Linked DNA regions of Macaca fascicularis. The protein of the gene in region 2 binds, or shares a complex with, the protein of the main gene of each other region. Links are inferred from orthologs where the notes say so. Each region holds a gene or a part of one and is shown on either strand. Other genes may lie near its edges.

The links.
Region 1: PPP4R4 (region 2) and PPP4C share a complex: the UniProt entries of both Homo sapiens proteins name them as parts of the PP4 complex. The link is inferred for Macaca fascicularis from reciprocal best matches to the Homo sapiens genes PPP4R4 and PPP4C.

The regions. Positions count from the first base shown.
Region 1 is NC_088394.1:28,019,904-28,023,819, forward strand, and holds the start of PPP4C (serine/threonine-protein phosphatase 4 catalytic subunit), read right to left. Parts: upstream 2,789-3,916; 5' UTR 2,700-2,788; intron 2,478-2,699; 5' UTR 2,415-2,477; coding exon 2,317-2,414; intron 1-2,316. UniProt on the Homo sapiens protein: Protein phosphatase that is involved in many processes such as microtubule organization at centrosomes, maturation of spliceosomal snRNPs, apoptosis, DNA repair, tumor necrosis factor (TNF)-alpha signaling, activation of c-Jun N-terminal kinase MAPK8, regulation of histone acetylation, DNA damage checkpoint signaling, NF-kappa-B activation and cell migration.
Region 2 is NC_088381.1:162,302,467-162,305,476, reverse strand, and holds part of PPP4R4 (serine/threonine-protein phosphatase 4 regulatory subunit 4), read right to left. Parts: intron 2,550-3,010; coding exon 2,402-2,549; intron 1-2,401. UniProt on the Homo sapiens protein: Putative regulatory subunit of serine/threonine-protein phosphatase 4.

The DNA.
Region 1 (3,916 bases), on a different chromosome or scaffold from region 2:
GTCATATTCTTTCTAGGTGACAAGGCAAAGATTCATACTGAAGACCACCTGATTCAAAAGCTCAGCTCTTCTGTGCTAGTATTTCTAGGAGCAGCAATTTCAGCTCAGACACTGCGGACCTCTGTGTTTCCACGGGTTTCACCTGCATCTCTGTGCCCTCTGGGCAAGCTGGTGCTCTTGACACTACCAGCCTCAGCCTGGGTCTCTGTTGGGTCCCCAGGAGGCCATAACCAGGTATCAGAGCGGGCCCCGCTTCAGACTGAGCCTTGGCCTAGTACCTCCTAGTTTCACTCAGTTTCAACTGGGCAGGACCCTCCACCCCTCAGTCTTCCATGGCTCCCTGCTGCCTCACACCACACATCAAAACCTAAATGCCTCTGCCTGGTTCTCAGTGACCACGGAGCACAGTCAAAGACCTGGATGCAAAACTAACTTCCCCTCCGACTAGCTGCGTGAGTTGGACAAGACATTATCTACTCAGAGGCTCAGTTTCCTCTGCTATGAAATGGGGCTAAATACTCAGCCCGCCCTGCCTATTCCTTAGGCTGTTGCAAGGAGCCATGGAGACTGAATACATAACTTCCTGCTATTCTGCAAACTCCAGCATGCTATCCAAGCTTTGCCTACCATCACCACCACGCTGATTCAGGGCCTGTGACGGAGATAAGACTTCAGGGTTAAAGAACAGAGCCACGCAATAACAGGTATAAGTTCCTAAAAATGCCAATCAGGACTGAGGGAGAGGGAAAAACTAAAAACACCGTGGGGCTAGTCTGGTCAGGGACATTTTCTTGAGCTGGCAAAAGAGAAAAGCCACAGACGGGTGGTGAAAAAGAGGCCGACCCTGCTCAACATCCCCTCACAGGCCCTGTCTGGCTGCAGGGAGTCTATGTGGGGCAGGGCCAAGCAAAGAGCCTGAGGGCCACAGATTCAGGACCCAGCTCTGCCACGTCCTCAGTGGGTGACCTCAGTCAAGTCACCAGACCTCTACGAGTCATGGCTTCCTGTGTGATAAAATGGAACAAATGATTCCAACCTCACAGGATTGCTGGGGGGAAGAGATGGACAAAAGTTTTTTTACCAGTACAGGGCCAGGCCAACAGTGGCCCTATAAAGGCCAATGTTTATTGTTCAATAAACATAGGGTAATTCTGCGGGTTCTTCTGCCACAATTCTCCAGCCTGGTAGAAGCCACAATCACACAGTGCCCCAGAGGAGGCAGGTAATAATTAAACCCCTGACTGTTCCCCATACATCTCAGGGCCTCCACTGTTACATTCGTTCTGCTTGGAATGCCCTTCCCTCACTGGCCCTGCCTCCATCAGCTAGCCAAATTATCTTCATCCTTCAAGGCCTACCTCCACTCAAAAGCCTTCCCTGATGGCTTTAACCCATCTCATTATTGCCCTCTTCCAAGAGAAATAGAATACCTGGTGATTATCAAGCACGTATGCTGTACCAAGACACTGTGCTAACCTCATCTCAAGCACCAACTCACTGAACCTTCACAACCATCTTATTAAGTACTATTAACTCCGCTTTACAAATAAAGACACCTTAAGATCACTAACACAGCTAGAAAGTGGCAGAGTTCAGATTCAAACCTAGAGCCATCTCACACTGCAAAACCCAGAGCCTTAACCACTGCTTCATCCTACTTCCCACAGAACTCTGAACTGGCCTCCCTCCCTATCATGCTTAATTTTACCCTAGCTTACTTGCTACGATTTCTCAGGCTCCCACCCTGAACGTGAGTAATCCAACTCCACACCTTTTTGCATTATGGCCTGAAAAAGGACGGGACACTAAGAGCTGGCTTCCGATCCTCATTCCCTACTTGTGGGTAACTTTTAACATGAAAGTTCTCACCTGTAAAATGAGTACAATACCACCAACCTTTAAGGGTTGTTGTAATTAAAGGACTTTTATAAATCACAGGGTCTTTAACTTTCCTGTCTTAAATCTTTGATTTTTGGCTCTTTTACCACCTCCTTATTCGAGGACTGTCCCACAGTTCGGCCCCCCTCCAACAAGCTTCCGACCCCCGACAGATGGACTTGTTTCCTTGAGTTTCCTAAGTACTTTACGTAACATTCTTACTCTACTGGAAACACATCGTCTAATACTTTAAGTGTCTTTATCCGCTCTGTCTTCCCCGAGCAGGCTAGCTTTTCCTCGAGGGCAGCGGTTCCATCCTGCTCCTCTCTGGGAAAGCTTCCAGGGCGAGGCAAGCCCAAAGTTCTCAGTTGGGTTTGCCCCAGGACAGAACCCGTGGGCGGCGGCTTGGCCTCCCTTCCCCAGGGCCAATGGGCTCACCTGGCTTTAGCGCACAGGGCCTTGACTTCGCTCTCCTTGATGAGCTCGCAGCGACGCAGCTGCTCGATCTGCCGGTCCAGGTCGCTGATCTCCGCCATGGCCCACCCCCGGCGCGGGTCAGAGTCGGGGCCGCCGCCCCCTCCGCACCGCACAGGGGTCTCCTGGGAAAGGCCAAGACGAGCCCGCGGATCAGAGTGTCCGTGCGGGGCGCGGGGCGGACAACTCGATTCTAGAGCCGGCCCGGCTCCCCCACCCCCGCCTCCCCTCACATCGGCCTCAGGACCCCCCAGCGTCCCACGGCGCGGCCGCAACCCCGCTAACTCCCGTCGAACCCCGCGGTCCCGCGCTAAGGACGGTGACTTAGAGGAGTCTGGCAATATTACCGCCGCTGCGACTCCGGTTCCGGCTCTCCGGCTCCCTGCCTCCCTCTTTCACTCCGCTTTGGGCCGCAGCCACCGCCGCCGCCGCTTCTACTTCCGGCCCCGCCGCGGAAGCAAAGGGAAGCCAGTTCCGCCGCGCGCCGGATGTGGCGTCATACACGCTCCTCTCCCTCCTTCGCAGCGACCGCTGCACCACTTCCCCAACCGCAGATGGGGAAGAAGCTGGAGGATCCCGGTGGCGGCCAGGGGCAGTTTTGTGGGCTCTGTTGCTGGGCGATGTGGAGGCTGTTAGAAACCCTAGAACAGTCACCTCCCCTTTCATTTTATACAAATGTTTTAACAGCTTTCTTTCTTTCTTTTTGAGGCGGAGTTTTGCTCTTGCCCAGGCGGGAGTGCAATGGCACGATCTCGGCTCACCGCAACCTCCGCCTCCCGGGTTCAAGCAATCCTCCTGCCTCAACCTCCTTAGTAGCTGGGGTTACAGGCATGCGCCACCACGCCGGGCTAATTTTGTATTTTTAACAGAGACGTGGTTTCTTCTTGTTGGTCAGACTGGTCTCGAACTGCGTACCTCAGGTGATCCGCCCCCGCCCCCCCTTCGCCTCCCAAAGTGTTGGGATTACAGCCGTTAGGCACCGCGCCCGGCCACAACTTTCTTTTTTTTTTTTTTTTTTTTTGAGACAGAGTCTCCTCTGTCGCCCAGGCTGGAGTGCAGTGGCCGGATCTCAGCTCACTGCAAGCTCCGCCTTCCGGGTTCACGCCATTCTCCGGCCTCAGCCTCCCGAGTAGCTGGGACTACAGGCGCCCACCACCTCGCCCGGCTAGTTTTTAGCATTTTTTAGTAGAGACGGGGTTTCACCGTGTTAGCCAGGATGGTCTCGATCTCCTGACCTCGTGATCCACCCGTCTCGGCCTCCCAAAGTGGTGGGATTACAGGCTTGAGCCACCGCGCCCGGCAACTTTCTTTTTCCTAAATTAGAGACAGGGTCTCTCTCTGTCGCTCAGGCTGGAGTCCGTGGGGCTATCATAACTCACTGTCACTTCGAACCCCTGGGCTCAAACCATCCTCCTGCCTCGGGCCTCCCAAAGTGCTGGGATTACAGGTGTGAGCCACCGCACCCGGCCATCCTCCATTTCAGCTAGGGAAACAAGCAGAGCTGGGGCTAGGCTTTGTAACTTTATTGCACTTTTTAAAAAATGTTACATATTTTTGTTATTTT
Region 2 (3,010 bases):
AAATATGCTCTTCAACAGAAGAATTTCAGGGCAATCTTTTCTGAGGAAGAGGGTTTAGGGTAATAAACAGGATTTCAGGGTCGGGCGCGGTGCCTCAAGCCTATAATCCCAGCACTTTGGGAGGCCGAGACGAGCAGATCACAAGGTCAGGAAATCGAGACCATCCTGGCTAACACGGTGAAACCCCATTTCTACTAAAAAATACAAAAAAAACTAGCCGGGCGAAGTGGCGGGCGCCTGTAGTCCCAGCTACTCGGGAGGCTGAGGCAGGAGAATGGCGTAAACCCAGGAGGCGGAGCTTGCAGTGAGCTGAGATTGCACCACTGCACTCCAGCCTGGGTGACAGAGCGAGACTCTGTCTCAAAAAAAAAAAATAAATAAATAAATAACAAGAGGATTTCAGGATGCCAGAGCTAGAAGGCACCTTAAAGAAGGAGGAACCATGAGGCGGCCCTGTCATGTGACAGATATGCACAGTGAGGGTCAGTGCACTGAGCTGAACTTTGCACAGCCACTTAGCTGCTGCCGGGAACAAGACACACAAGGCTCTCTATACACCATTACCGTGTCCTGCCTCTGTTTTCATCACTTTTTTTTTTTTTTTTTTTTTTTGAGACGGAGTTTCACTCTTGTTGCCCAGGCCGGAGTGCAGTGGCGCGATCTCAGCTCACCGCAACCTCTGCCTCCCGAGTTGAAGCGATTCTCCTGCCTCAGCCTCCTGAGTAGCTGGGATTACAGGAGCACGACACCACGCTTGGCTAATTTTTGTATTTTTTTAGTAGAGGCAGGGTTTCACCATGTTGGCCAGGCTGGTCTCAAACTCCTGACCTCAGATAATCCACCTGCCTTGGCCTCCCAAATTGTTGGGATTACAGGCATGAGCCACTGCACCTGGACCTTTCATGACTTTTAAGTGGAACTTCCATAGTATAATCATGGGAGCAATAACTGTATAGCTAAAGAGCATTCTCTGTAAATAAAAGTACACTCTGCATTGACACTAACCTGTAATATCAATGTTCATTTTTTTCTATTACTATTATGTTTTTGTAATAGTACATTGGTTCTCTTTCCGTGAGCGCTAGTCAATAAATTTATTTCTAAACTTATTTCTAAATTTTGAATGAAGTTGGGCATATACCCAACGACCAATTAAACTTTGGAATACATATAGTTTGGATGTTTGTCCCTGCCCAAATCTCATGTTGAATTGTAATCCACAATGCTAGAGGTGGGGCCTGGTGGGAGGTATTTGGATCATGGGGGCTGATCCCTCATGGCTTTGTGTTTTCTTTGTGATAGTGAGTTCTCGCAAGATCTGATCATTTAAAAGTGTGTGGCACCTCCCCCAACCCCACTCTCTCTCTCTCCTGCTCCTACTTTTACCATGTGATGTGCCTGCTCCTGCTTCGCCATCTAGCAGGATAATAAGCCTCCTGAAGCTTCCCCAGAAGCAGATGCCGCTATGCTTCCTGTGAAGTCTGCAGAACTATGAGCCAATTAAACCTCTTTTCTTCATAAATTACCCAGCCCAGGTATTTCTTTATAGCAATGCAAAACAGCCTAAATCAGATCCTAAAAGGGACTCCAGCACAGAGTTTTTGCAAAAGAATGCATTTAAGAAACTTTATTCAAAAATGCCCATGCATTCACTAAAATATGTTTAAAAGAACATCTAAATATTGTTAAAAGTCTGTTCCAACCAGAAGGTTCAGGTGTCCTATATGAAATAGCTAACTTGTAACTACGGTTTGGGTATCCTGGCAGAATCATTTATAACTTGATACAGTCTCTTATCAAGGTGATTTTTATGGTACCCCTTTCTTAAATATTTAAGCTAAAAGAAAGACTTCAACAAATCAAACAAGATACAAATAGCACTTTAAAAGGAATCATGGGGGAAAAGGAAAATGGAGGCCCTTTATAACTTCAACTTCAAGACATAAGTATAGTCTGTAAACCTCTCCAGTTTACTGAACTCACAATTCTGGGTTCCATGCTGCCACTTATTTCTTAACGTGACATCAGCTGTACCCATCTTTCTGCACACTGGGTGATTAAATACCATATCCTTAAGCTAGGTGTTTAAAGGGATGCCTTCTTAGAGACAAATTCCCTAAATGTAAACATTTCATAGAAAAAAATTAGATTTCAGATATTAGTGGGAGCCATTTAAATGTTTCCTGTTGATTTCCTAAGGTTACAATGCCTTTGCCAAATGTAAGTTATTCTATATAAACTAACATAACAGAGTCACATGTGACAGTAATACCCTTTAATTTATAACATTTCCTCATTATAGACATTTTCTATTCTTTGGAAAGTACTTAAGTGGGAAGGAAAGTCTGTTGAGAAAAAGAGTAGGATAATACACTCAGTCTGACATCACTTGATTACTTACAAGGTAGCCTTCCGTGGTTGTGTATCTTTACTTCCACTGCTCTTGGGATCAACTGAGTTACCTGTCCCACGGGAAGTACTTGGTAAGGGAGTATTAGGAGAAAAGGAAGGTGGAACACTACTGGCATTACGAGTCCGGAATGAATCATCTGAAAGTAATACATATAAAGTCAGATATATCAAATATACTAAGAAAGAGGGTAACCAAAGAGAAGAAAAGGTTAATGATAGCTGACTTTTTCACTTTTTAAGTCAATTTTATGAGGGTAAAATTTACATACAACAAACCGCAAGAAGTTAAGGTTTTGACATATGTACACCCCCATGAAGTCATCACCACAATCAAGATGTGAGCATGTCTATCACTATGAAACAGTCCCTCATACCCCATCATGATCCTCCTCCGCCCTCTCCAAACCACTCCTGTCAACTATAAAATAGTTTGTATTGTCTAGAATTTTATATAAATGAACATACAGTATATACTCTTTTCTGTCTGGCTTCTTTCATTCAGCATAATTTTGAAATTCATTCATGTTTTATGTATCAATACTTCATTCCTATTTCTGACTGGTATTGTGTGAATATGTCAAAATTTGTTTACCCATAA